4 linked regions of the Anolis sagrei genome follow. The protein of the gene in region 4 interacts with the protein of the main gene of each other region in a biochemical or structural test. Links are inferred from orthologs where the notes say so. Each region holds a gene or a part of one and is shown on either strand. Other genes may lie near its edges.

What was found.
Region 1: the proteins of ATM (region 4) and MDC1 form a complex in vitro, tested with the Homo sapiens proteins (2 studies listed by BioGRID, with this or other methods). The link is inferred for Anolis sagrei from reciprocal best matches to the Homo sapiens genes ATM and MDC1.
Region 2: the proteins of ATM (region 4) and SMC1A form a complex in vitro, tested with the Homo sapiens proteins (2 studies listed by BioGRID and IntAct, with this or other methods). The link is inferred for Anolis sagrei from reciprocal best matches to the Homo sapiens genes ATM and SMC1A.
Region 3: of the proteins of ATM (region 4) and EIF4EBP1, one has a biochemical effect on the other in vitro, tested with the Homo sapiens proteins (2 studies listed by BioGRID, with this or other methods). The link is inferred for Anolis sagrei from reciprocal best matches to the Homo sapiens genes ATM and EIF4EBP1.

The regions. Positions count from the first base shown.
Region 1 is NC_090022.1:21,662,761-21,670,412, forward strand, and holds the start of MDC1 (mediator of DNA damage checkpoint protein 1), read left to right. Parts: upstream 1-4,444; 5' UTR 4,445-4,771; coding exon 4,772-4,895; intron 4,896-7,652. UniProt on the Homo sapiens protein: Histone reader protein required for checkpoint-mediated cell cycle arrest in response to DNA damage within both the S phase and G2/M phases of the cell cycle.
Region 2 is NC_090022.1:175,069,767-175,077,531, reverse strand, and holds the start of SMC1A (structural maintenance of chromosomes protein 1A), read left to right. Parts: upstream 1-4,595; 5' UTR 4,596-4,749; coding exon 4,750-4,858; intron 4,859-7,692; coding exon 7,693-7,765. UniProt on the Homo sapiens protein: Involved in chromosome cohesion during cell cycle and in DNA repair. Central component of cohesin complex. The cohesin complex is required for the cohesion of sister chromatids after DNA replication.
Region 3 is NC_090027.1:10,772,824-10,780,960, reverse strand, and holds the start of EIF4EBP1 (eukaryotic translation initiation factor 4E-binding protein 1), read left to right. Parts: upstream 1-4,778; 5' UTR 4,779-4,835; coding exon 4,836-4,977; intron 4,978-8,137. UniProt on the Homo sapiens protein: Repressor of translation initiation that regulates EIF4E activity by preventing its assembly into the eIF4F complex: hypophosphorylated form competes with EIF4G1/EIF4G3 and strongly binds to EIF4E, leading to repress translation.
Region 4 is NC_090023.1:26,265,148-26,272,660, forward strand, and holds the start of ATM (serine-protein kinase ATM), read left to right. Parts: upstream 1-4,400; 5' UTR 4,401-4,489; intron 4,490-4,536; exon of another isoform or gene 4,537-4,560; intron 4,561-7,513. Other genes in the region: protein NPAT, read right to left, coding at 1-77, 4,106-4,142.

The sequences.
Region 1 (7,652 bases), on a different chromosome or scaffold from region 4:
CAATGCTAATCAAGCCGGCCGATTGCAACATTCACACTTGCCTCAAACAGTCAAGAGTTCTTTCTCCCACCCTGGACATTCCACAAATATATAAACCTCACTTGCCTAGTTTCCAACAGACCTCACAACCTCTGAGGATGTCTGCCATAGATGTGGGTGAAACATCAGGAGAGAATACTTCTGGAACATGGCCATATAGCCCGGAAAACTCACAGCAACCCAATGATTCTGGCCATGAAATCCTTCAACAACACATCAAAGCAACTATTAATCAAATCATCTAGCAAACAGCCCACCCACATTAGAGTATTATGGCAGTTTGACACCACTTTAAGTGCCATGGGATCCTGGAATTTGCAGTTTGTTGTGGTCATTCTAGTCTCCAAAGAGTAAATTTTCTTGTATTTGCCATTGCTCACTGCAAGAGGTGTGCTCACACACTATGTTCAATATAGGAACAATCAGTGTGGACATAGACTACTGAACTGTGCACTGGTAGAATATCTCTTAGGTAGCATTTAACGTCTTTATGTGGGTGGCTGATATGTGCCCTGGTAGTTATTCAGAGTGTCAGCTGTAGATTGTTCCCTATTGAGGATTTAAGAACAGTTGTATATACACATACTGACTGGGAACAAGGACTTCTGAATTTGTATATTGCCAGCACGAACATATGTGCAATATAAACTCTTATTATTATGGTGTGCCTTTAGGTCATTTCTGACTTATAATGACCCTAAAGTAAGCTACCTCAGGGTTTTATGGGGCTGAGAGTATGCGACTTAGATAAAGTCACCCTGTGGATTTCCATGGCTGAATGCGGATTAGAATCCTGGTATCCAAAATCATAATCCAACGTCCAAAGGATTACATCAGGTTTAAAGTCAACACATTGCATTGCCTGTTACTTTTCTGATACTTTTCATTACTTTGAATAAATAAATATTTCAAAATAATGATATAAACATTTAAAAAATCATATGTAATGCTTCTAACATTGCTCATTCACTAATGGAGCAACTTTGTTTCCATTGTTTGTGCTACTTACCATATGTAGCTTTGCGACAGGAAACGGTGTTACTCATAATGTGTTAACCTTCAACCCACAAGTCTTCCCCTGCTACAAGCCTCCTCAGCCACCTCTCTTCGCTGTTGAGAGTTAGAGTTTAATCAGTGGAATTAGTGAAGTTTGATACCACCTTAACTGCCATGGTTTAGTGCTATGGTATCCTAGTAGTTGTAGTTCCCTCTTGTCCTTTGCTGAATGTAGCATTTGTTGGATTTTCTTAGTGGATCTGTAGATTGTGTTTCTTCATCAGCTTCACTATGTGGTCAGTGGTTCCCTTGATGTATGGCAAGAACACTTTTCCTCTGAGTGGATCTTTGTCTTGACTCTCATGGCTTGTTCTTGGTCTTTCAGCACTTCTGATGTCTAAGGTGGAGTATCCATTGGCCTGTAGAGCCCAGTTTAGGTGGTTTGGTTCACCTTGGTGGAGGTGGGCTTCGCAGATTCTTTTTGCATGGTCTGTCAAGGCTTTAATGGTGCTTCTTTTTTTACTTGGGTGATGGTTGGAGCTTTTATGCAGGTATCTATCTCTGTGTGTAGGTCTTCTGTAAACTGTGTGGACCAATTGTTGGTTGGGCTTTCAGATGACTAGGACATCTAGAAATGGCAGTTTTCCTTCTTTTTATTTTTCCATGGTGAATTGGATGTTGGGGTGGATGCTGCTGAGGTGGTCCAGGAACTTATTTCTTTATTTGTTTGTTTAGAGTATTTACTATATTCCACCCTTCTCACCCCGCAGGGGACTCAATGTGGATTACAATGCACATATACATGGCAAACATTCAAAGCCAATTAATATGCAACATATAAACAGACAAAGAGGCAATTTTAACATTCCACCTTCCCGGCTTCATATCTGCTTTGAACTGGATTATCTGAGGTCACACTGCCATATAACCAGTTCAAAGCAGATAATATGGGATTTTATACAGCTGTATGGAAGGGGTCTGATTCATGCAATTATGGTACATGGTGAATGGTAGGAAAACCCACCTGCAGTGATCAGCTGTGATTTTTATTTTATTTTCATGTGAAAAATGGTTTCACCTGGTAATGCCCACTCCTGTCCTTAAAAACCCATTAAATGCAATTATAATTGTACTGTATTTTAATTTTATGTCCAGGACACAAATATAATAATAATAATAATAATAATAATAATATATTTATTTACAGCTTTTATATTCCACCCTTCTCATCCCACAGGGGACTCAAGGTAGATTACAGTGTACACATATATGGCAAACATTCAATGCCAATTTTGATGTGCAGACATATACAGACTTACACAGAGGCTATTTAACCTTTTCTGGCCACCAGGGGAGCTGTCGCTTTCATCGTCCATCTGCGATGCTGATGAAGTACCTCTGCATTCCTTGCATGCTTCCCCACTGGAGTGCTTCTTTATGGCCTCATAAATTAGTTAATTTTAGCCTCCCCACACTTTTAAGGTGGTACCTTATTTTCCTACTTGAAAGATGCAACTGTCTTTCGGGTTGCAAAGGTTGACAACGGGCTACACAATGGTTGGAAACCCACTCCAATCTGGGCTGGCTTCGAACTCATGACCTTTTGGTCAGAGTGATCTTAATGCAGCTGACACTCAGCCAGCTGCGCCACAATCCCAACAACAACAATTTATTTATTTATTTATTTCGAGGTTTTATATACCGACCCTCTCACCTTCAAAGAGGGATTCGGACCGGTTCACAACATGTGTTAACATACAAAAAATATACAACAACAACAACAAAAACAACAACATGGATGTGGCTAACAAATTGAACTTTGAAAAGGAAACTGGGGGCCTGATTCTTGCAGCCCAAATGCCATTAAAGCCAGAACTGAAAAGTCGATGACAGATCCCAAGTGTACACTCTGCAAGAAGATTGTGCAGATGGACTACAAGCAGAGGCATAACATCTTGCTCAGATGATCCACTGGAACTCGTGCCACAAATACCATCTGCCTGCGACAACGAACTGGTGGGATCACAAGCCTGAAAATGTTACAGAAAACGAACATGTCAGACTACTCTGACACTTTCAAATTCAGAGTTTTGGAGCACAATAGTCCTGACCTCATGATCGTGAAAGTATGGATCATCGATGTTGCAATCCCAGGTGACAGCAGAATTGACAAGAAGCAACTGGAAAATCTGACACAATATGAAGATTTAAGATAGAACTGCAAAGACTCTGCCACAAGCCAGTAAAGTTGGTCCCAGTGGTGATCGACACACTGGGTACGGTGCCTAAAGACCTTGGCTTGCACTTAAAAACAATCAGCACTGACAAAATTACCATCTGCCAACTGCAAAAGGCTACCCTACTTGGATCTGCACGCATTATTCACCAATACATCAGACAGTCCTAGACACTTGGGAAGTGTCCAACGTGTGATCCAATACAACAGCCAGCAGTGATCTTGTTTGCTGTGTACTAATCTTGTTGTGTTTCAAATAAATAATAATAATTTTGTATTTGCTTTGTTTTATATTGTTATTGGGTCATAGAATCCTAGAATCCTAGAGTTGGAAGAGACCTCATGGGCCATCCAGTCCAACCCCCTGCCAAGAAGCAGGAATATTGCATTCAAATCACCCCTGACAGATGGCCATCCAGCCTCTGTTTAAAAGGTCGTGTAAGTTGCCTTGATTCCCTATGCAGAGAAAGGTGGGGATAGAAATTAAGTTAATAATAATAATTAACGGGCCAGGAAAAATATTGATTGCGGTGCATCCACACTGTAGACTTAACACAGTTTGATACCAGTTTAACTTCCTTGGGGAATTTCTATGGAATCTGGCAAGTTGTGGTTTTAGCAGGCCTTTAGCCTTCTCTGCCAAAGTGGACTGGTACTTACCCAAACTACAAAGCCCAGGACAGTTAAAGCGGTATCAAACTGTGTTAAGTCTACAGTGTGGATGCACCGCAATTAATATTTTTCTTACAGTGCAGATGCAATGATGTAGAGATAAGAAACATTGTTTTAAAATTAAGAAAAAAATAACCGAGGAGTGGTTGTGCCCGTGTATACAAAACCCGCGGATACGGAGGGCCGTCTACCCGCGGATACGGAGGACAGGCTATTGCATTGACTCTCCATGTATTGCATTGACTGTATACTTCCACCCTCTCGCTCGGAGGCCAAACAAAATGGCCGCCGCCGTGAAGTCAAAGCCGGAAACCCTATGTCTGAAGCAACTCTATGCTACTGGGCTTACGCTCTAGGCTGGACATTTCCTGTCTCTGTGATTTTCCGTCGCTTATATTGGATCGGAAAAGAGCGAGGCCGGGCCGTTTACTCCCCGCCAACCATTGAAATAAATCAACCAATCGTCGGACGGGAAGCGTTTAAAGTGGCAGCCTCGGTATCCAATAAGAAAAGGGTCCTGCGCAAAAGAAGGCGGGGCGCACGAAAATTGGATGCCGGAGTGCTATTTGGGGGAGCGGAGACCCCTTTCAATAGGTTCAAATGGGAAAGAAAAAGGCGGGAGTTAGATTTAAAGGGACAGGCACCTAAAAATAAGAAAGACTTAGGTGCATAGGTGTGTGTGGGCTAGCCATTAGGATATAATTGGAAGCAGGATATCAAGGCTATCAAAGGAATAATGCAAGGAGATGGATACAGATGAGGTTTGGAAAGGCAAAGGGAAGGAGTAACATTGTACCTACATATATATAGCTATATAGTTATTGCAAAATGGAGCAAACTCAGTTGTTGGACTGGGACGAGGAAGGGGATCCCAATGAGGCTTCTCATGGGAATACCCCCAAACCTGTTGGGCGCCTGCACCTTTTGAGCAGCAAATATGGCCCTGAAAAAGGTAAGGATGTCTACAATTAATGCCTTTATATTTATTAACATTGTGTATGTATATTTTATTTATATGCCACCTTTCTCCCAAAGTGGGATGCAAAGGTGACTTGCAAATACATTAAATTGCAAGGTTTCCAACACATTTTATTATATGCATTTATATTATTGTATTTATATGCTCCCTTTCCCCCAAAGTGGGATGCAAAGGTGGCATGCAAATACATTACATTGAAAGGTTTATACCACATTTTATTATATGTATTGATATTATTTTATTTATATGCCAGTTTTCTCCCAAAGCGGGGCACAAGAATGGGAAAACGTTATTTGCCGACTTTCTCTCAAAGTGCAATGCAAAGGTGGCTTGCTAATACATTACATTGAAAGGTTTCCAACACGTTTTATTATATGCATTTATATTATTGTATTTATATGCCAGCTTTCCCCCAAAGTGGAATGCAAAAGTGACTTGAAAATACACGAAATAGAAAGGCTTCCAACACATTTTATTATATGCGTTGATATTATTGTATTTATATGCCACCTTTTCCCCAAAGTGAGATACAAAGGTGGCAAGCAAATACATTACATTGAAAGGTTTATACCACATTTTATTATATGTATTGATATTACTGTATTTATATGCTACCTTTTCCCCAAAGAGAGATACAAAGGTGGCTTGCAAATACACTAAATTGAAAGGTTTCCAACACATTTTATTATATGTATTGATATTATTGTATTTATATGCCACCTTTCCCCCAAAGTGGAATGCAAAAGTGACTTGAAAATACATTAAATTGAAAGATTTCCGACACATTTTATTGTATGCATTTATATTATTATATTTATATGCCACCTTTTCTCCAAAGTGAGATACAAAGGTGGCTTGCAAATACATTACATCAAAAGGTTTCCAACACATTTTATTATATGCATTGATATAATTGTATTTATATGCCACCTTTTCCCCAAAGTGGCATGCAAAGGTGGCTTAAAAATACATTACATTGCAAGGTTCCCAACACATTTTATTATATGTGTTGATATTATTGTATTTATCTGTCAGCTTTCCCCCAAAGTGGGATGCAAAAGTGGCTTGCAAATACATTAAATTGCAATGTTTCCAACACATTTTATTATATGCATTGATATTATTGTATTTATATGCCAGCTTTCTCCCAAAGTGGGACACAAGAATGGGAAAACGTTAAATTAGGTGGCTTGCAAATACATTAAACTGAAAGGTTTCTAACACATTTTATTGTATGTATTGATATTGTTGTGTTTATATGCCAGTTTTCAACCAGAGTGGGATGCAAAGGTGGCTTGCAAATACATTAAACTGAAAGGTTTCCAACACATTTTATTATATGTATTAATATTATTGTATTTATATGCCAGTTTTCTCCCAAAGTGGGGCACAAGAATGGGAAAACGTTATTTGCCGACTTTCTCCCAAAGTGCAATGCAAAAGTGACTTGCAAATACATTAAATTGAAAGGTTTCAAACACATTTTATTATATGTATTGATATTATTGTATTTATATCCCACCTTCTCCCAGAGTGCGATGCAAAGGTGGCTTGCAAATACATTACATTGAAAGGTTTCCAACACATTTTATTATATGTAGTGATATTATTGTATTTATATGCTACCTTTTCCCCAAAGAGAGATACAAAGGTGGCTTGCAAATACACTAAATTGAAAGGTTTCCAACACATTTTATTATACGTATTGATAATATTGTATTTATATGCCAGTTTTCTCCCAAAGTGGGACACAAGAATAGGAAAACATTAAATTAGAGTGGGGCGCAAGGCAGCTTGCAAATACATTAAATTAAAAGGTTGTTGTTGTTGTTATTAACAACTGTATTTATACTCTGCCTTTCCCGCTGTAGGGACTCAAGGCAGTTAACAAACCCACACTTTTAAAAGCTCATTACAAAAGTTACAAAACAATTAAATCGTACAGTGTGGTAGAGACATATTAAAACATTACCAATACACTTAAAATAGTCTTTACAACTAAATTGTATTTATTGATATTGTTTCATTTAGATGCCACTCTTTCACCCAAGGTGGCTTGCAAAAACATGATTCCACGGCATTGGGCCATTGGAGTTAAAGTGGTGTCAAACTGCATTAATTCTATAGTGTAGATGCACCCTAAGAATGGGGCTATGCCAGGCATGGGTAAACTTGGGCCCTCCAGGTGTTTTGGACTTCAATTCCCACAGTTCCTAACTGTTATGATTTGAGGGAGTTTTATTTTGAACACTTATACCCCATCCATTCTCGACCTCCAGGGAGAGACTCAGGACGGCTACCTACAGGCAACAATTCGATTCCGAGACAATATAAACACATAATAAATACCTAAATATAAATATAAATATACATTAAAACAGTTGATGTCCAAAACACCTAGAGGGCCAAAGTTTGCTCATGCATGGGTTATGCTGCTTGTTTACAAAAGCCCTTCAGAAGTTTGCATAGAGAGCAAAACTGAAATCCTGTTGGATTAATTAATTAGTTTATTTTATTTACATATTTATACTCTGCTTTTCTCACCCCTGGGGAGACTCTAAGCGGTTTTAATCCCAAATAGAGGATTCTCATTGAATCTGTTGATGTACAGTGTATTATCATGTAGATCAGGCATGGGCAAACTTTGGTTTACTAGGTGTCTTGGACTACAACTCCCACAATTCCTGTTAAGAATTGTGAGAGTTGAAGTCCAAAACACCTGGCGGGCCG
Region 2 (7,765 bases), on a different chromosome or scaffold from region 4:
AGGATAGGCTTGTGCGTGATACAGAGGGCCCTTCTACACAGCCATATAGCCTAGAATATCAAGGCAGATAATCTATATAAATAAAAACGCAATGTTCGTTTGTGGGATTAACAGAACTCAAAAACCAGTGGGCCAATTGACACGAAATTTGGACAGCATACACCTAACAACCCAATGTATGTCCTTCACTCAAAATTTTTTGATTTTGTCATTTGGGAGTTGTAGTTGCTGGTATTTATAGTTCACCTACAATCAAAGAGCATTCTGAACTCTACCAGTTATGGCATTGATCCAATCATGGCATACAGGACTCCCATGACCAACAGAAAACACTAGAAGGTTTTGGTGGGCATTGACCTTGAGTTTGGGAGTTGTACTTCACCTACATCCAGAGAGCACTGTGGACTCAAACAATGATGGATCTGGACCAAACTTGGCACAAATATTCCATATGCCCAAATATGAACACCGATGGAGTTTGGGGAAAATACACATTGACATTTGGGATTTGTAGTTACTGGGATTTATAGTTCATCTGCAATCAAAGAGCATTCTGAATCCCACAAACAACAGAACTGGGGCAAATTTCCCACACAGAATCCCCATGAGCAACAGAAAATACTTAAGACCATCCAGTCCAACTCTCTTCACCAGGACAAGAAAATGTAATCAGAGCCCTCCTGACAAAGAGCCATCCAGTCATAAATATAGATAGATATGATTCACACACACAGATATAGTACAGATACAGATATAGTATCATAGATTTCAAAGGGACCCCTAAAGAAGGACTATGATATATTGCATATTCAAGAGTAGTCAAACCAGACAATCTCCACATCAACACTGACAAAGAAACAACAAGAAATACTGTTTACCCAAAAGCACTTACATACATTACAAAATTACATACATTAGAAACCAATGCTTTCTCATTACTTTATTTTCCACATCACCAGACTGGGCCACAGCAACGCGTGGCAGGGGACGGCTAGTCTATATAAATAAAAATATAATGTTCGTTTATGGGATTAACATAACTCAAAAACCACTGGACAAATTGCCACCAAATTTGGCCACAAGACACCTACTAACGCAAGGAATGATCATCACTCTAAAATTGTCATATAAAATCCAGGTTATCCATTTTGAACTTGATTATATGGTAGTGTAGACTCACATAATCCAGTTCTGTGGATTATCTGCTTTGATAATCTGGATTATATGGCAGTGTAGAAGTACCTGAAGCTTTCTCTCCAATTCTTGCTTCCACAACAAGCCACATTTTTCAAAATCCAATTATCACAGAGACAGAAAGTGAGGGGCAATCTTTTGAACAGGGGCACAGACAGCAAAACAAACACCCTTCCCTATGCTATCCAAAGCAAATGGACTGGAGTTTCATTTTAAAAAATGTACCTGTTCTGACTTACATACAAATTCAACTTAAGAACAAACCTACAGAATTTATCTTGTCCGTAACTCAAGGACTGTATGTATACTAATCTATTTTAATGTTTACTATACTAAATGCTTGTAGTTGTCCAGAGTCTCAAGCAAAATACTTTTAAAGTCACACCACAGAGATGGGCCACCTGAAACCATCCATAAACATTTAGTGATTTTTCACATGCATCTTATATGTCTAGTGCTTGAAAATAACTGAGTGCATTATATTTTAAAATAAATGTTGTTCATGAAATAGCACATTATCAATTGGAGCATTTTGAATTTCAGAATTCCAATTAAAGGGTAATCAGCCTTATATTATGGCCCCTTCTACACTGCCATATAAAATCCAGATTATCTGCTTTGAACTGGATTACATGGCAGTGTAGACTCATCATTATATAATATATATATATGAGGGTTGAATGAAAAGTAATGCCTCCACCTTTGTTACTTGGGTTTGGATGGGAATATTTTAATAAATCAAATGCAGAAATAATCCTTAGAATGTGCTCTTTAGCTACCACTATTCACTTTTCCACATAATCACCAGACCATTGGATACATTTCTGCCAACAATGAACAATTTTTCTGAAGCCATCATGGAAGAAGTCGACACTTTGTTTCCGAGACCCATCCTGCACAGATCTTCCGATAGCCAAGCAAAGCAATAATGTGACCCACACGTTCTTGTGAAATGCCGATTATGCTTGAGATTTCTCTCTGAGTGATACGACGATTGTCCTTAATCAATCTGTCAACCTTTTGCTTGCTGTCACAGGACGTCCAACTCTTTGTTTGTCACGCAAGTCAGATGTTCCCACCTCAAAATCTTTAAACTCACTCGCCCAATGATGCACAGTACTCACATCAACACAACCACCATAAACAGCTTGCATTCTCTGATTAATCTCCTTTGGGGTGACACCTTCTGCTGTCAAGAATTCAATGACTGCACGTTGCTTAAGTCGCATTGACCGACCATCTGCACAGGGTTCCATACTTTGCACTTTAACAACACAACCATTCAATGCTAAGGCTTCCCGCCAAAATGGAACTGTAGAGGAGAGTCTACTGAACAAGCCAGTACCTGCCGCATACCAGTACTGCCATCTGTTGAAGAGTTTCGAAGGTGGAGGCATTACTTTTAATTCAACCCTCGTATTTCTCCCTACTCCTAGATGGAATCTAGAGCTTCAGACATTATAAGCACCACATAAGTAGTATCTGCAAAAATATACCCTTATTCCTTGGAGGGAGGATTTCCTTCAAAGCATCTATTTGTTTCTCAAAAACTAATTTACATGGCTCATAATCCTCTGTGTTAAAAGAAACATATTTTGGTACCTAATCAAACAATCCAGTTCAGATCAGATAATCTGGATTATATGGCAGCGTAAAAGGGGCCTCAGTGACTATCCACAATGTGATGAGTCACTTTAACTGCCATGGCTCCATTCTATTGAATCCTGGGATTCGTTTCTTGTTGTGGCACCAGAGCCCTCTGACCCCTTCCACACAGCTGTATGAAATCCACATTGAACTGGATTATATGGCCGTGTGAACTCAGATAATCCAGTTCAAAGCAGATACTGTAGATTATCTGCCCTGATATTCTTGATTATATGACTGTGTGGAAGGGAAGGGGAAGTATCTCACAAAACTACAAATCCCAGAATCCCATAGCATTTATTTATTTATTTATTCACGACATTTATACGCCGCCCTTCTCACCCCGAAGGGGACTCAGAGCGGCTTACAAGCAAAAAATAAATACATTATATTATATTATTACCATAGCACAATATTAATATTACTAGCCGTCCCCTGCCAAGTGTTGCTGTGGCCCACATGAGGGTTCTGTGTGGGAGGTTTGGCCCAATTCTATCGTTGGTGGGGTTCAGAATGCTCTTTGACTGTAGGTGAACTATAAATACCAGCAACTACAACTCCCAAATGTTAAGATTCTATTTTCCCTAATTGGGCATATTGAGTATTCATGTAAAGTTTATTTATTTATTTAAAAGTTTTCTATACCGATCTTCTCATCTCCAAGAGGGACTCAGATCCGGTTCACAACATGTGTTCGTATACAAAAATACAAACCACACAATGTATTATCATTACACAATTAAAAACATATTACAATACAACACCGTCATCATCACACTTACACAGCCACATCGTCAAAACATTCCTGGTCATAATTCACAAAGTTTGGTCCAGATCCATCACTGTTTGAGTTCACAGTGATCTCTGGATGTAGGTGAATTACAACTCCAAAACCAAAGGACACTGCCCACCAAACCCTTCCAGTATTTTCTGTTGGTCATGGGAGTTCTGTGTGCCAAGTTTGGTTCAATTCCATCATTGGTGGGGTTCAGAAAGCTCTTTGAGTGTAGGTGAACTATAAATCCCAGCAACTACAACTCCCAAATGACAAAATCATGTTTTTGAGTGAGGGACATACATTGGGTTGTTAGGTGTCTTGTGTCCAAATTTTGTGTCAATTCATCCAGTGGGTTTTGAGTTCTGTTAATCCCACAAACAAACATTACATTATATATATATAACATTGTACTATAACATTATACTGTAATATTAGTAATATTACATTTAATATAAAATATATAATTATCATATTATTAGTAGTATTATATTGTATTACATTATAATATTATCATTATTATATGTATATACAATATATTATATTATTGAGCCATGGCAGTTAATAAGATGCTATAATTCCGCCTCTGGACTGAGACTCCCAGCATCTCTCAACAGGCCAGGGCTGCTGGGCTTTGTAGTGCCATAAAGTGTAGGCAACCTGATCAGAGGCCCCTTCCTCTGCACGACCCGACTCGCCTGATGCTCACCTTTCCTAGACGGCGCTTGCTTTCTGGTTGCTGTGACAACGAGCCACTTTAAATGATGTCATCTTTGGAAAGGGCTCATTGGCTGCGCTCGAACCTATCAGCACAGTGAGAAGTTCGGAGTAGGCGGAGCTTGCCGCAGGAAGGAGGTCCCCTGCTGAGCTGAGGCGGAAAAGGGGAGGAGCTCCGAATGCAAATTTTACGCGGCAGCGGCATCCTATCAGCGACCGCGATGTCGTAAGAGGCGGAGCCTAAAGTGAGCCGTAATCAACTCTCGCGAGGTTTCAAGACTCCCGCCCTTCTCGTGGACGGCGGCCGAGAGTAGTAATCAAGAGGGGCCTACGGGGCCTTGTGTCCCCCACCGCGCCCCGTAGTTTTGCTTTGCGTCCACCTTTTCTATCTCCCCCCCGTTTCCCCAACCCGCGGAATGGGGTTCCTCAAGCTGATCGAGATCGAGAATTTCAAATCGTACAAAGGGCGGCAAATCATCGGGCCCTTCCAGAGCTTCACGGCCATCATCGGGCCCAATGGATCCGGTAAGGCGGGCCTCCCCGGGATCTAAGGACACAACACCGAATCGCATGGCATTTCAGGGAAGGGTAGAGTAGGGAGCATGTCCAGATAACCCAGGGTCCTACCACATCCATTTGAAATCCAGATTATCTTATTTGAACTGGATTATAGGGCAGTGTGGACTTGTATAATCCAGTTCAAAGCAGATAATATGGATTTTAAACAGCTGTGTAGAAGGGGCCTAAGAGTCAAATGCTCAGTCACACTACTCAGTACCTGTAGACTGAGGGTCCTTCCAGGCAGGCCCTTTATTCCAGGCTTTCTGTTTATCCCAGATTATCTGGCAGTGCAGATGATATTGAGCCTGAATTTGGGAGAGTCTCCCCGGTAGAAGAGACTCCTAGGACTGCACCAAAGAGAGTCCCTTGTCCTTGGCGAGCCGTCAGAAGAAGCCTGATTCCAGCAATTTTATTGATATTAATAATTGAAATGAGACTCTTGCCAAGGTGAAGAAGTGGCACCGAGGTTTATTAGCGATTCAGCTGAAGCGGATGCAATTGCAGTGATCATTCACATGCAAGCATACCAATACATTGATCAGAGGCATATTTATAGCAAAATACAGATTTGAAAGTTTCAAAACTCCCTCCCTCTTCGGCTCCTTAGCAAATCAGGGAGAGGGAGGCAGGACGGAAGAGGGGCATTGTGTCCAGAGAGGATGATGACATTCCACTGTCCTTTGCCCGAGGGATCAGCCAGCCAAGGAAACCAGTTTTTTTGTTCTTGTGATGGATCAGTGATTAGGGATAATCATTTGATTCAGGTTTTCCCCTTCCAGGATCAGATAAGGTGTGTTGGTTTTGATAGGTTTTTGGATGAAACAAACAGAGCAGGGCAAGAAGACCCCTGGGGCCAGTCTCGCCCCTTTGTGATTAAATTAAAATGTGATCAGAGAAATTCCCTGTTTACCAGGCCAACTCAGAAAAAAATAAACAAAGAATTTCCAGTTGCTATTGTACATGCAAATGTCTGTGATAAGGTTGGTTTCGAGGGAACAACAGCCCCCTCAGGCACTGAGTGGTTTTTCCTGGTCGCCTTTTTTTGGGCAAGGGTAAAGGGGGCAAAAGGTATTTCATAGCAAGATACATACATTCAAATCATAAGCATTTCATAGCAACAAAACCCCATCTTTGTCCCACATCCCAAATATATTTAATAAGAGGATTAATTTTCATGAAGAAGCCTGAAGTCCAATGTTTTAAAAGGTCTTTGAGGAAAGTTCATGAGGGAGATAGTATGTACTGAAGTCCAAGACATGCAGGCAGAGAGTCCATGATCATTGGGAAGGCTAGCAGATGAAACCCCAGCTGTGCTGCAACTGATTCACACTTTGGTCCTTGGGAAACTACGACTCTCACGAAGGGCAGAAGTCCCAAGATCCAGCCGTTTCCCAAAAGCCTCGTGGGGTCCTTGTTGTTGTCAGTGCCTTGGCAATGTGACCAAGACTTAACCCCTTACTGTGCAGTCTGGTGCGCTTGCCCTTTGCAGGGCTACAAGTCACCATCCCCCATTCTGGGGGGGGGGGGGGTGCTCGGCTTCACAGACTCGTATAATTCAGTTCAAAGCAGAAAACGTGGGATCCGATCCTGGAAGGGACCTGAGTCTACCCTGCCATATAATCCAATTCAAAGCAGATAATCTGGATTTTATTTGGCAGTATAGAAGGGGCCTTCGTCTTCTTCTGATTTCTTGACTGCAGCGCGTTCTGTTTAATGAGTGAGGCAAAGTATAGAACTATTTCAGTGTTTTTTTAATTTTTAATTTATTTATTTTATTAATCGAATTTATATACCACCACTCCCTGAAGGCTCGGAGCGGTTTACAACATACATATGCAATACATTACATTATTATTATTATTATTATTATTATTATTATTAATTTTATTTGTACCTCACTAGCATCTCCCGAAGGACTCGATGTGGCTTACACAGGCAAAGGCCTCAATAAAAACATAGCATAACAAAATACACAACTTAAAACAAATCAAAGCAATTAAAGCAATATCAAACAACAAAACAATAAAACAATATACCAAAACACAAGAAAACAGGGCCGGGCCAATGTAATGGGTACAGGTTAAAATGAGTACAGGCTGATGTGGCAGGTGGTATATCAGATTTTAGGGTAAGTGCAGTGTGCGGGCAATCTTAAACTCTAATAAAGTGCTTCTGGGACATGTTACTGGAGTTTTCCTATTCTGGAAAGGCACATCGGAACAGCCAGGTCTTCAAGTTCTTCCTAAAGACTACCAAGGTAGGGGCCTGTCTGATATCTTTAGGGAGGGAGTTCCAGAGTCAGGGGGCTACCACAGAAAAGGCCCTGTCTCGCGTCCCCACCAGACATGCCTGCGACGCAGGTGGGATCGTGAGCAGGGCCTCTCCGGATGAACGAAGAGAACGTGTAGGTTCATAAACAGAGATGCGGTCACGTAGGTAGGATGGTCCCAAACCATTTAGGGCTGTGTAGGTAAGCACCTGCACCTTAAATTGGGCTTGGAAAATAAACAGCAGCCAATGGAGCTCCTTGAACATTTAAAAACAAAGAAAATAATTCAATCAATCAGTTTGTCTAACTTTAAAGTTATGAAGGTTATCTGTGGTCATTATTTTTGTTTTCTTATGTTCAACTGTAAACTAACATTTGCATTTGCTTCCTTTACCTTCTTCAGTAATAATTCGGAGTCTTTATTATTCGTTGCTAAAATCTTGAGACTAAGAAACTGTGACAATGAAAACATCAACATAATATTGATAACATGGTTTCAATTTGTTCTGTCTTTGCTGTATCTAACCAGGGAAATCAAACCTCATGGATGCTATCAGCTTTGTGCTTGGTGAGAAGACCAGTAATTTGAGAGTGAAGACCTT
Region 3 (8,137 bases), on a different chromosome or scaffold from region 4:
AAGGAAAATATACATTACAGTCTCTGGTTTTCTTGGGTCCAAGGACTTTTGCAGCTGAGAAGCTTTTCCGGGTCCCTCTTTCTCAATGGCTGTGAATATCGGAATAATCACAACTCCAATTCCAATGGCCTATATTTTGAAGGCACAAAGCCTTCCTCTGGTGCCAAAGAACTTGTTTGAAGGCACTCGAGACTTCTCAATGTCGTCCAGGTTGATCTGAACATAAAGCATAAGTCTGAAGGGTAAGAACCTCAGAATTGGTGCTGAGAGGTAACTTAATCAAGGGCTTCAGAGCCAAGTCTCTCTCTCACGTCCATCTGATAGAAAGTTTGGTGGTGGAATGGAAAAGGAAACACTGTCCCGCTCTCTAGGAAGAGGTGGGATCGAACAATTGAGCAGGAGGAGCAATTCAACTGGTGCAAACAACGTTGATTGACAGCTATAAATAACCAATCAATCCAACTATATATTGTAGAAGGCTTTCATGGCCAGAATAACTGGGTTGTTGTATGTTTTTTCGGGCTATATGACCATGGTCTAGAGGCATTCTCTCCTGACGTTTCGCCTGCATCTATGGTAAGCATCCTCAGAGGTAGTGAGGTCTGTTGGAACTATATATCTGTGGAATGACCAGGGTGAGACAAAGGACTCTTGTCTGCTGGAGCTAGGTGTGAATGTTTCAACTGACCACCTTGATTAGCATATAATGGCCTGACATTGCCTAGAGCAAACTTTTGTTGAGAGGTGATTAGATGTCCTTGTTAGTTTCCCTCTCTGTTGTTGTGCTGTTGTAATTTTTGAGTTTTTTTAATACTGGTAGCCAGATTTTGTTCATTTTCATGGTCTCCTCCTTTCTGTTGAAATTGTTCACATGCTTGTGTATTTCAATGGCTTCTCTGTGTGGTCTGATATGGTGGTTGTGAGAGTGGTCCAGCATTTCTGTGTTCTCAAATAATACGCTGTGTCCAGGTTGGTTCCTCAGGTGCTCTGCTATGGCTGATTTCTCTGGTTGAAGTAGTCTGCAGTGCCTTTCATGTTCCTTGATTCGTGTTTGGGCAACACTGCATTTGGTGGTCCCTATGTAGACTTGTCCACAGCTGCATGGTACACGGTAGACTCCTGCAGAGGTGAGGGGATCCCTCTTGTACTTTGCTGAACGAAGCAGTTGTTGGATTTTCTTGGTGGGTCTGTAGATAGTTTATAGGTTGTGTTTTCCCTTAATGTATGGCAAGAACACTTTTCCTCTGGGTAGCCATGAGAATAAAGATGAAGATCCGCCCAGTTTTCCTAGTTCCAACAGACCTCACTACCTCTGAGGATGCTTGCCATAGATGCAGGTGAAACATCAGGAGATAATGCCTCTAGACCAGTGTTTCTCAACCTAGGGGTCAGGACCCCCAGGGTGGTCGCAAGGGGGTGTCAGAGGGGTCACCAAAGACCATCAGAAAACAGTATTTTCTGTTGGTCATGGGAGTTCTGTGTGAGAAGTTTGGACTAATTCTATTGTTGGTGGGGTCCAGAATGCACTTTGATTGTAGATGAACAATAAATCCCATATGTCAAGGTCTATTTTCCCCCAAACTCCACTAGTGTTTACATTTGGGCATATTGAATATTCATGCAAAGTTAGGTCCAGATCCATCATTGTTTGAGTCCACAGTGCTCTCTGGATGCAAGTGAACTACAAATCCAAAACTCAAGGTCAATGCCCACCAAATCCTTCCAGTATTTTCCGTTGGTCATGGGAGTTCTGTGTGCCAAGTTTGGTTCAATTCCATCATTGGTGGAGTTCAGAATGCTATTTGATTGTAGGTTAACTATAAATCCCTGCAACTACAACTCCCAAATGACAAAATCAACCCCTCCAACCCCGCCAGTAGTCTAATTTGGGCGTATCGGGTATTTGTGCCAAGTTTAGTCCAGTGAATGAAAATACATCCTGGAGATCAGATATTTACATTACGATTCATAACAATAGCAAAATTACAATTATGAAGTAGCAACGAAAATAATTTGATGGTTGGGGGTCACCACAACATGAGGAACTGTAATAAGGGATCGCAACATTAGGAAGGTTGTGAACCACTGCTCTAGACCATAGCCATATAGCCCATAAAAACCTACAACAACACAATCCAACTATACATTTACAGGGTAAAAAGGCAAAATCGGGCTTGATACAACAGTTCAAATCCTGCAACTTACAGTTCTACATATAGGTGGTGCCACTCACACCGTCACACAGAGGTACAACACCTTTGTTCAGATGATTCATTGGAACTTGTGCCACAAACACCATCTGCCTGCCACAAAGGTCTGGTGGGATCACAGCCGCAAAAAGTTATGGAAAATGAACACGTCAAGTTACTCTGAGACTTCTGAATTCAGACAGACATAGTTTTGGAGCTCAACACTCCTGACCTCACGTTCATGGAAAAAAACAAAGTATAGATCATAGATGTTGCAATCTCAGGCGAAAGCAGGATTGCAGAGAAACAACTGGAAAAGCTGACACGATATGAGGATTTAAAGATAGAACTGCAAAGACTCTGGCACAAACCAGTCAAGGTGGTCCCAGTGGTGATCGGCACACTGGGTGCAGTGCCTAAAGACCTTGGCCTGCACTTAAACACAATCGGTTCTGACAAAATTACCATCTGCCAGCTGCAGAAGGCCACCTTTCTCTGATCTGTATGCATTATTGGCCGCTACATCACATAGTCCTAGACACTTGGAAAGTGTCCAAAATGTGATCCAATACAAAAGCCAACATAGTGATCTTGTTTGCCATGTGCCAATCTTGTTGTGTGTCAAATAGTAAAAATACCTTTTATTTATTACCCACCCCTTATTATAGTTCGAGGCAGGGTACAACAAAGTCAAAAACATGAACATAAAATAAGTATACAATGAATTACACAGATAAAAACACAAAAATATAAAACACTTGCACAAAACACAGATACAGAATTGACATATAATAGTAGTAGAGGGTAAATCAAAACTCATGATAAATTGACTCTTCTGCCAGAAGAGATGGGTCTTCCATTCTGACAGCTCTTTTAGGTCCTTTCTACACTGCCATATAATCCAGACTATCAAAGCAGACAATCCACATTATCTGCTTTGAACTGGATTATATGAGTCTACACTGTCATATAATCCAGTTCAAAGCAGATAATCTGGATTTTATATGGCGGTGTAGAAGGGGGCTCAGTGTATACTGTCATATAATCCAGTTCAAAGCAGATAATCTGGATTTTATATGGCGGTGTAGAAGGGGGCTCAGTGTATACTGTCATATAATCCAGTTCAAAGCAGATAATCTGGATTTTATATGACGGCGTAGAAGGAGGCCCACTCTACACTGTCATATAACCCAGTTCAAATCAGATAATCTGGATTTTGCATGCCAGTGTAGAAGGGAGCTCAGTCTACACAGTCATTTAATCCAGTTCAAATCCGATAATCTGGATTTTATATGTTGGTGTAAAAGGGGCCTCAGTCTACACTGCCATATAATGCAGTTCAAATCGGATAATACGGATTTTATGTGCTGGTGTAAAAAGGGCCTCAGTCTACACTGCCATATAGTCCAGTTCAAATCCGATAATCCGGATTTTATATGTTGGTGTAAAAAGGGCCTCAGTCTACATTGTCATATAATCCAGTTCAAAGTAGATAGTATGGATTTTATATGGTGGCGTAAAAGGGGCCTCAGTCTACACTGCCATATAATCCAGTTCAAATTAGATAATCCGGATTTTATATGTTGGTGTAAAGGGGGCCTCAGTCTACACTTCCATATAATCCAGCTCAAAGTAGATAATCTGGATTTTGTATGACGGTGTAGAAGGGGGCTCATTCTACAATGTCATATAATCCAGTTCAAAGCAGATAATCCGGATTTTATATGGCATTGCAGAAGAGGCCTCTGCCTGTACTGCTATATAATCCAGTTCAAATCAGATAATCCGGATTTTATATGTTGATGTAAAAGGGACCTCAGTCTACACTGCCATATAATCCAGTTCAAATCAGATAATCCGGATTTTATATGTTGATGTAAAAGGGGCCTCAGTCTACACTTCCATATAATCCAGCTCAAAGCAGATAATCTGAATTTTGTATGGCGGTGTAGAAAGAGGCTCTGTCTACACTGTCATATAATCCAGTTCAAAGCAGATAATCTGGATTGTATATGGTGGTGTAGAAGGAGGCTGAGTCTACATATAATCCGCTTCAAAGCAGATAATCTGGATTTTATATGGCGTTGCAGAAGAGGCCTCTGTCTATACAGAGGCTCCTTCTTTGGAAGCTTTTAAACAGGGGCTGGATGGCCATCTGTCAGGGGTGATTTGAATGCAATACTCCTGCTTCTTGGCAGAATGGGGTTGGACTGGATGGCCCATGAATGAGGTCTCTTTCAACTCTTTGATTCTATGATTCTATGATTCTATACTATCATATAATCCAGTTCTAAACAGAGAATCCGGATTTTATATGTTAGTGTAGAAGGAGCCTTAGTATCCCACAAAACTGTACATTTCCATAGAAGTTAATATGGTGGCAAAGGAATAGAGCAAAGCCACTTTTTGACTTTGGGACTTCAACTCCCAGAAGTCTCCGCTGACTGGGACAATGGAAGGGAATCCTGGGAATTGAAGTCCAGAAAAAAACATTCAGGGCTAAAACGGAGGCGGGGCTGTGAGAGCGGAGGGGCGTGTCCTGGCAGACGGGGGGCGGGGCTTCGACGGGGGGCGTCCCGGGAAGAGAGCGCGCCCGCCAGTGGAGTTTCCCCGCCGGAGAAGACACACGCAGGCAGTCAGTCCGCCATGAGCTCCGCAGCCACCTATTTCCGCTCTCCGCCGGCCTTGATCCCGGCCAAGAGGCTCCACTTGCCCGAAGGAGTGACCCTGCCCCCTGGAGACTACAGCACCACCCCCGGGGGGACCCTCTTCGGCACCACGCCCGGAGGTGAGCCGCGACACCTGGACGCTGCCTTTCTCGTGTTGACATCCCTGCAGTTGCTTCCTTAGCCCTTGGATGTGACTTTAAGACACGGGAATACTTAGCTCTGTTTTAGAATTGCAGTCTGAGTGTCTCTGAGCATGGGCAGAGTGCTGGCTGGTGCTTGTGGGCTGAGTGCCTCTCAGTGTGTGCAGAGTGGAGTCTTAATGTTGACGTTTGAGAGCTGAGTGTCAACATTATTAATGTTGACACTCAGCATCTTAAGGTTGATGCTTGAGTGCCGAGTGCCTCTGAGTGTGTGCAGAGTGCAGAGTGGCATCTTAATGTTGATACTCGTGTGCTGAGTGCCTCTGAGCATGTTCAGAGCTCTGGCAGACATCTTAATGTTGATGCTTGAGAGCTGAGTGCCTCTGAGCATGTGCAGAGTGCAAGGTGGCGTTTTAATGTTTATCCTTGTGGGCTGAGTGCCTCTGAGCATGTGCAGAGTGGCATCTTAATGTTGATACTCGTAGGCTGAGTATGTGTAGAGTGCTGGGTGGTGTCTTAACGTTGATACTTGTGCGCTGAGTGCCTCTGAGCATGTGCAGAGCGCAGTGTGGCGTCTTAATGTTAATACTTGTGGGCTCAGTGCCTCTGAGCATGTGCAGAGTGCTGGGTGGTGTCTTAATGTTGATGCTTGTGGGCTGAGTGCCTCTGAGCATGTGCAGAGTTTTGTCTTAATGTTGATACTCGTGGGCTGAGTGCCTCTGAGCATGTGCAGAGCGCAGCGTGGCGTCTTAATGTTGATACTTATGGGCCGAGTGCCTCTGAGCATGTGCAGAGTGGTGTCTTAATGTTGATGCTTGTGGGCTGAGCGCCTCTGAGCATGTGCAGAGTGATGGCTGATGTCTTAATGTTGATGCTTGGGTGCTGAGTGCCTCTGAGAGTGTGCAGAGTGCTGGGTGGCATCTTAATGTTGATGCTTGAGAGCTGAGTGCCTCTGAGTATGTGCAGAGTGCTTGTGGGCTGAGTGCCTCTGAGCATGTGCAGAGTGGTGTCATAATGTTAAAATTTGTGAGCTGAGTGCCTCTGAGCATGTGCAAAGTGCAGGGTGGTGTCTTAATGTTTCTACTTGTGGGCTGAGTGCTTCAGAGCATTCAGCCCACAAGCACTGTTGCTTGAAGCCAGCCTTGAACCGCATTCCATGGTGAGTGCAGACCTGGTTCTTCTGTGTTTCTCTCCTCTCCTGCCTGGGGAGTGTTTTGCAGAGAGGGCCCTTCCCAGCCTGGCAGGTTCAATGCTGGATCAGCGCTCATGGACCAGAGCCTGCATCAGATGCCCGCTGTGTTATTTTCCAGTTGGCAGGCACATGGGTGGGATGGACACAGGCGGAAAGAATGTCACCGCTTGCACCCCAATGGAGCGCAGCACGGAATGCAATGTTAATGCTTATTTATCCCACTGGAGAACAGGCCATGGGTGCAACTACGCTGCAGAATTAATTCAATTCCATCCCACTTTAATTACTCAAGGCGATGAAGTCCTGGGATTTGCAGTTTGTGAAGGACGCACCAGCATTCATTTATTGGCGCAATGAGTTAAATCCTTGTGCCAACAGGACTGAAGACTGACAGGTCAGAGGTTCGAATCTGCGGAGAGCGCAGACAAGCTCCGTCTGTCAGCTCCAGCTCCCCGTGTGGGGACATGAGAGAAGCCTCCCACAAAGATGGTAAAACATCAAAACATCCGGGCATCCCCTGGGCAACGTCCTTGCAGACGGGCAATTCTCTCACACCAGAAGCGACTTGCAGTTTCTCAACCCTAAGCATATTTAAGTGGAAGATCTGATGCAATTCCAGAGTAAAAGTTGTCGATTGCATAAGACTTAGCAAGGGATGGGAAACCGTCACAGTTTATTTCATTGGACTGATAGTTATCAGCCTTGCGTGCAAACTTGTCCTATGTCTTGTCAAATGCCGGAATCACTAGGTCACTGTGACTTTCTCAGGCTGTATGGCCATGTTCCAGCAGCATTCTCTCCTGACGTTTCGCCCACGTCTATGGCAGACATCCTCAAAGGTTGTGAGGTCTTGTCGAAGGCTTTAATGGCTTGATTCACTGGGTTGTTGTAGGTTTTTCGGGCTATATGGCCAAGTTCTAGAAGCATTCTCTCCTGATGTTTCACCTGCATCACTACCTCTGAGGATGCCTACTGTAGATGTGGGTGAAATGTCAGGAGAGAATGCTTCTAGAACATGGCCATATAGCCCGAAAAACCTACAAAAACCCAGTTGTGAGGTCCATTGGAAGCTAGACAAGTGGGGTTTCTGTGGAATGTCCAGGGTGGGAAAAAGAACTCTTGTCTGTTTGTTGCAGTTGACCGGTTTGGTTAGCATTGAATGGCCTTGCAGCTTCAAAGCCTGGATGCTTCCTGCCGGGGGAATCCTTTGTTGGGAGGTGATTAGTTGGACCTGATTGAGAGCCATTGCAACATACCTGAGTGCCTCTGACCACGTGCAGAGTGCTGAATGACGTCTTAATTACAGAATGATTCATAGGTTGCCTTGGGGTCCACATCTCCGCTGTAGAATTAATGCAGTTTTACATCACTTTAATAACCATAGCTAGATGTATTGTTGAAGGCTTTCATGTCTGGAATCACTGGGTTGTTGTGTTTACTGGGCTGTAAGGCCATATTCCAGAAGCATTCTCTCCTGACGTTTCGCCTGCATCTATGGCAGGCATCCTCAGAAGCATTCTCTCCTGACGTCTCGCCTGCATCTATGGCAGGCATCCTCAGAAGCATTCTCTGCTGACATTTCGCCTGCATCTATGGCAGGCATCCTCAGAAGCAGTCTCTCCTGATATTTCGCCTGCATCTATGGCAGGCATCCTCAGAAGCATTGTCTCCTGACATTTCGCCTGCATCTATGGCAGGCATCCTCAGAAGCATTGTCTCCTGACATTTCGCCTACATCTATGGCAGGCATCCTCAGAAGCATGTTTTCCTGACTTTTCGCCTACATCTATGGCAGGCATCCTCAGAAGCATTCTCTCCTGACGTTTTGCCTGCATCTATGGCAGACATCTTCAGAAGCATTCTCTCCTGACGTTTCGCATACATCTATGGCAGGCATCCTCAGAAGCATTCTCTCCTGACGTTTCGCCTGCATCTATGGCAGGCATC
Region 4 (7,513 bases):
TGCATATTCTTTTAAATCTGAACTTTCCAATATAAAGGCCCTACAAGTGGCCAAAAGCCTTTCTTGTTGTAAATAGCCTGCAAGAGACAAAATGTTTTTTTCCTGTTATCTATATCAAAATGATAAAAGTCAAATGATAAAATAATGAAAACCAATACAGCCCATTCACAGAACAAGGTAAAATTTTATAGTAAAATTTCAGAAGTAAACAACATCATAAATACTAATGATAAACAGTAGCAATCTATATCATTGTTCAGCAGTTGTCAGATAGGTAAATAGGAAGTACCACATAAAAAGAAAGATTGGAATCTTTTTGTAAGCAAGATAAATCTTGTTACAGTAAAGCGTTCTAATAAGAACAATTATGAGGGGTTTTTTTGTATAACGAATAGTTTACTTGTTGCTTCAGAAGATTACTTTTGTGGCACTCTTTTTGAAATATGTATTTTTAAAAGGGTTTGTTAGAAAACAAATTAAAAGTAACACACAACCTGTACTTTTATTCTATACCAACTCCAGAAGGGTTGTAATGCTAGTCATCGCAGTTAGAAGAGTTTATCCTATTGCACAATAAGTCACCCACGCTTTGGAAAAATGGCCTTCAAGGTGAATTGGCTGAACTAAATTCTTTATTTGCAAGTGTTAAATATTTTGGAAATAGGAAACCTTCTTAAACCTCCTGTTTAATAATTTGTCTGTATATAATATGCTGTTTTATTTATTGAAGTGTATATGCATTCTTTGGTATGCAGTTTTCCCTAACTCTATGTTCTTGAGGTTGTGGGAGGGGCTGCAGACCATGTGGCCAGAACAGGGACTGTTTAGATCACAGTTTAAAAGTTGACAGTTGAGGGATGACTGTTGACAATGACAGTTGAAATTAGACAGTTATAGAAGAGAGTTGTATAGAGCTGTATAGTGTTGAAGAGATTGAAAAAGACTGAAAGTTAAAGACAGAAACTGAAATGTTTTAAAGTTTAAACTAACATGAAATGTGTCTGTATATTTAAATGGTCAAAGTTGTGAGTAAGACAAACAAGTTATTTTTAAAGAAGTCTACTTGAATTTTGTCTTCTGAGAGCATGAAATAGAAACAAGATATGTAGGGGAGAATAGATGTGTTTCGACAACACTTCTGAATATCTGAGATATATATATATATATAGAGAGAGAGAGAGAGAGAGTGTGTATTGGCATATTCTCTGTTCCTAATAGTTCAGAGTCACCTGGAAATCAGTCTAAGAGCTGAAAAACAATTGCCAATTATTTTAAGAAAAGAAATGGTTACCATTTCTTTTCTTAAAAGATATAAACATTGAGGCCTTCGGGGGGGGGGGGGGGGCGTCTGGTCCATCCTTCCAGAAACCAATTGCCGACCATCACCTTTTCATCGGACCCAAAGACTGTGAAACAACCTGCAGAAGTGGTCTGACAGCTAGATCAGCTGTTAGAATTTAAGTCACAACTGAAGACCTATCTTTTCTGACAGGTCTACCCAGTTGGTTTTAAACTGTAAATTTTAACCTGACATTTTATTAGTATTGGTATCTTTGTTTTGTTCATTTTAATACATGTATTTTAATAGTACTACATTGTATCTATGTGTTTCAACAATGTTGTTTACCTGCCTAATAGCCATGAGGAGAGGTGGGTACATTTTTACAAAATTATTAAATACAAATCCTTAGTGGCTAGGACAATCCTGCTTACTAGCTCATAACTGCTGAACAAAATACCAGCTTTGCACTTAACATTTCCTGAATTTCAAACAAAGATTAGGACGATATCGTATTATCTCTTGTCAAAAGAAACAACCGTCACCAATCAAAGCTGCTGTTTCTACACAATACAAATTAACACACAACTCTGATCACTATTGCAAAAAGGGAATAGGAAGTATCAGTGTGACGCTTAAAAGAAGCTAAAATCCACAAATGTCAATGTTCTCTACTAAGTCTGACAATTTGGTTTGGACCACTTTAAATCAGGCATGGGAAAATTTTGGCCCTCCTGGTGGGCCAGAGTTTGCCCATACATGATTTAAATCATACTACCACAAATATTGTGTATAAATTCACTTAGGGGCTGTATGTATATTGTAATTATTTTTGTGTTTAGATTCCAAGATATCTACAAAACATTCCAAAACCTAACATGCCTCTGGCAGCCGGACATGTTGTTCAAGAAGAGATATTCAACTGACACACCCAGTGAGTCTAAAATGGGGAAAGGAGCTACAAGGAGCCATGCCCTTCTCCTCACAGGACACATCCACGTCAAGCATTTAATGCAGTTTAAAACCGGTATTGAAAAAATCAGCTTTGCTGTGCAGATTACACAGAAAATCCTGGCAGGATAGGATAATATACAAACCGCAGAATACTGGTGTTCATGGAGAGCTTCCTTTCTAGCACTTTTGTGGAGTAGTTGAGCCCCTTCCACACAGTTGAATAAAATCTCACATTATCTGCTTTGAACTGGAATATATGGCAACGTGGACTCAGATAACCCAGGGCCCTTCCACACAACCATATCACCTAGAATATCAAGGCAGAAAATCCCACAATATCTGCTTTGAACTGAGTTATCTGAGTCCAAACTCAGATGTGGGTTTTTCTGCCTTGATATTCTGGGATATAAGGCTGTGTAGAAGGGCCCTCAGATAACCCAGGGCCCTTCCAACCAGCCAGATAACCCAGTATATTAAGGCGGAAAATCCCACAGTATTTGCTTTGAACTGTGGCCCCACCTACACTAATTTAACTGCTTTGATCTGGATTATATGGCAGTGTAGAATCATATAACCCAGTTCAAAGCAGATAATGTGGATTATCTGTTTTGATAATCTGGATTATGTGGCAGTGTAGAAGAGCCCTGGGTTACCTGAGACCACACTGGGCCCTTCCACACCGTCCTATAGCCCAGAATATCAAGGAAGAAAATCCCACAGTATCTGCTTAGAACCGGGTTATCTGAGTCCACACTCAGGTAATGTGGGATTTCCTGCCCTGATATTCTGGGATATAGGGCTGAGTTGAAGCGCCCATTGCCATATATTCCAGTTCAAAGCAGATAATACAGGCTTTTATTCAGCTGTGTGGAAGGGGTCTCCAGTTCAGAGCACATATTTGTTGTTGTTCATTCGTCTCCGACTCTTCGTGACCTCATGGACCAGCCCACACCAGAGCTCCCTGTCGGCCGTCACCACCCCCAGCTCCTTCAAGGTCAGTCCAGTCACTTCAAGGATGCCATCCATCCATCTTGCCCTTTGTCGGCCCCTCTTTCTTTTGCCTTCCACTTTCCCCAGCATCATTGTCTTCTCTAGGCTTTGCTGTCTCCTCATGATGTGGCCAAAGTACTTCAACTTTGTCTCTATATAGTGGGACTGTAATAATAATAAATAATAATTTGATAATCTGGATTATGTGGCAGTGTAGAAGGGCCCTGGGTTACCTGAGTCCACGCTGCCACATATTCCAGTTCAGAGCAGATATTGTGGGATTCAGTTCTTGTGGGTTTTTTCGGGCTATATGGACATGTTCTAGAGGCATTTCTCCTGACGTTTCGCCTGCATCTATGGCAAGCTTCCTCAGAGGTGAGGTCTGCTGGAGCTGGGAAAAAAGGGGTTTATATATCTGTGGAATGACCAGGGTGAGACAAAGGGCTTTTGTAAGTTGGGCTAGGTGTGAATCTTTCAACTGACCACCTTGATTAGCATACAATGGGCTGGTCAGTTGAAAGATTCACACCTAGCCCAACTTACAAAAGCCCTTTGTCTCACCCTGGTCATTCCACAGATATATAAACCCCTTTTTTCCCAGCTCCAGCAGACCTCACCTCTGAGGAAGCTTGCCATAGACGCAGGCGAAACGTCAGGAGAAATGCCTCTAGAACATGGCCATATAGCCCGAAAAAACCCACAAGAACTGAGTGATTCCGGCCATGAAAGCCTTCGACAATATATTGTGGGATTGTCTGCTTTGATATTCTAGGCTATATATCTGTTTGGCAGGGCCCTTGGTTGCTTGGCCGCCGCAGTCTGAACCTCGCCTCGAACCGCATTAAATGGCCAGTGTAGATGGGCCCAGAACCGCTCCCTTACCGAGGACCAACCGGGCGACGTCTGACGGCAGCAACATGGCGAGGAGGAAGGGGAAAAGGAAGCCCCCCTCCTCCTCAAACGGGGGCGGAAACAACCAACACTTTCCCTTTTCCCGGCTCCTTCTGGGCCCGGCAATCGAGAAAAAGGCGCCCAAAATAGTCTTCAGTTACTTCAGCTTCCCCCTCCTCCTCCTCCGCCCAATGACTTCCGGGAGCAGAAACGACAACAATCAGGATTCCGCTTCCGGTGTGGGCGGAGCCAGGAGGGAAACGCGGGAAAGAAGGAGAGGCCACGCCCCCTTCGCTCCCCTTCTGACGCCCCTCCCAGGCGGAAGGCTGCGCGCGCACCTCACGTCGAATGTGGAGCCGGGAAAAGAAGCCTCAGGTCAGTCAGAAGGAATGCAACCTGGCCTCACTTTCTTCACTGCCAGGCATGGGCCAACTTGGGCCTTCCAGGTGATTTGGACTCCAACTCCCACCATTGCCTAGCCTTTGAGCCATGGCAGTGAATGAAATGGGGCGTCCCAACTGCATTAAGGCTGTGGGATCCTGGGATTTATAGTTTGGTGAGGCCTTGCAAGCAGAGGCCTTGCAAATCTTTATTTTGTATACCCTGTCACCATCTCCCCAAAAGGGACTCATGGCAGCTTATTTGCTGGGCCAAACACAGAGACAACAACAAAGTTTACCAACTGAAACATAATTAAAAACATAGTAACATATCACCACTACGATTCCTATTGATGATATGGCACCCAGGCATAGCAATTCTGCATCAATTCTACAATGTTTTCCTCCTCCATCTCTTCCTCCTCCGCCTATCCATCCTCATGCTTGTTGTTCTGGAACAGCTGTTCCAGGAGCTCCAATTTTATTTGCTTTGAATTAAATGTTGGTTTGCAATCCCAGGCTTGGGATTTTGCAGCAGGGTGGCTTCCTGTTACGTTTGCAATCATAGGGCAAGCCACTAGTCTATTATAGTTACGATCCCTGGTCCTGCCCCTCTCTGGGTTTTTTGGAGGGAAGGGGCCATCTTTCAGTTAGTCTCAGCAAAGGAAGTCAATGCAGAGGGTGTATACAGACATCCTCCTGTGCAAAGGCTTCGTCCCTTAAGACTTTCTGGGGGAGAACAGTCTTGAGAGCCTCTGAAGATTCCCAAAGGTTCCAGGGAAACAGCCTTACAGCCCTGAAGAATTCCGGGGGGAATAACAGCTCTAACCATCAAAGCAGCTAAGTGACTACAGGCCTGTTGCTACGTCTGCTAGGTTCTGAGACGCAGTTCAGCCGGTAGTATATTCAAATAAGTCAGGTTTAGGTTCACAGCAGCCTGGGAGGAGCTAGAAAGGGGAATTTTCCTTTGAACAAGGTTTTTGAAGATAGTGCCTGTTCCCTGTGAACAAGATTGCAAGAGCTAAGAGACTGTTTAGAAAACTTTACAATTCCTGTTTGTTCATCAATAAAAGACTGTTATATTTAAGCTCAAGCCTCATAAAGACTGTTTAATAAGGGAAATTTACCAAAGGCTTCTTTTCGGGGCCCCTGGCTTCCCGCTGGATCCAAGCCATACATCCTCTCTTAAAGGCACTTCATTTCAGGTCCAGTGGCGACAGAACACTTGTCATATTGGCCCTCACTTGCTTGACTTCTAATAATAGAAATAATAGTAATAATAATAATAATAACAACAACAAGAACTATTTACCGTATATACTCGAGTATAAGGCGACCCGAATATAAGCTGAGGCACCTGACTTTACCACAAAAACTGAGGTATAAGCTGAGGATGGGAAATGCAGGAGCTATGGGTCAGTTTCAAAATGAAAATAGATACTAATAAAATCACATTAATTGAAGCATCAGTAAGTTGAATGTTTATTAATATTTACATAAAACTGTAAGATAAGACTGTCCAACTCTGATTTAAAAATTATTCTAACCTTCTTCAATGTACACGTGTTTACGTATCCTTCCAATAATAATAGAGTAAAATAATAAATGTAATAATAATAAAAATAATAAAGTTGACCTATAAGTGTAATAATAATAATAAAGTAATATAATAAATAAATAATAATAAAGTAAAATAATAAATAACTTTGACTCGAGTATAAATTCAGGGGAGCTTTTTCAGCCTAAACAAAGGACTGAAAAACTAGTCTTATACTCGAGTATATACAGTATATCCTGCCCTATCTCCCCAAGAGGACTCAGGGTGGATTACAACAGATATCGGCAAACATTAAATGCCGTGAGAAACTGAACAAAGACAAAAATAACCACCCCCCCATCCCAAAAACAAATCTGCATCAAAAGTAATAACATTACTAGTAATATTATGTGCATTATATTTTATTTATTTTGTATCAAAAGCATTGCATAAATTAATAAAAAAGTGATAAAAATAGAAGGAGTGTAGGCGGCTAAATACCTTTTGACCAAAAATGGGCAACAGCAATGGCAATGTCTGTAGCCTCCAACAATTCTTCCTTTGTACATGAGGCAGGGCATAGTGGACAAGCATACAGATGCGGAGTTGTCTGTTCTGCTTCACAGCCACACAAGGTGTGGGATTCTTTTAGGTAGTGCCATTTTGCCAGGTTGTCTTTTGATCTGCCTACTCCACTTCTGAGTCTGTTCAGGGACTTCCAAGTTGCCCATTCTTAGTTTACCCCTGGAGAAAGACACTCGTGGGGGGCCATCCAGTTGGGATTTCCTGGTTTAGCTGTTCCTGGGGGGACGCCAAGAGGAGTGGTAGTTCGCATAAAGCTTTTCCTTGATTTGAGTCTACTGGGAGGAGGCTGGTAGCCATGTAGTGGGTGGCTTTCACAGTGTTCAACCTTATTTCTCTCACATTTAGCAGCAACTTCCCGTCGCACATGGGGGTGGGGGTGGGCAATACCAGCTAGCTTGTAAAGTTTATCCACAGGTGTAGGTTTAAGACATCCTGTGATTATTCTGCATGTTTTGTTCAATGCTATGTTCACCTGCTTTGCATGGGCAGACTTATGACACGGAAAGAGACTCCTCGAAGACTGAGTAAATACAGTTGGGCATCCCCCAGGCAACATTTCTTGTAAATGGCTAATCTTTTCAAACCCAAAAGCATTGCTTTTAAACATTTGAATGTCTTATATAATATACAATTATCATATTATACAATGCATCCTATTACAATTCAGTCTGAGCCCTGCCACATGCACAATGGAGGACCTCCTTATAGGAACACCAGAGGGACTCCCAAGTGTCCAGGACATTTCATATAATGTCAAATTTTTAAATTTTGTGTTTTTTAAAATACATCACAACTGTGCGCTTGCTTCGCTCCTGATACGATAAATAAATCATATTATATTATTATATTGTACTATATTATTACACCACAATGTATGTGATACACTACCAGTACATT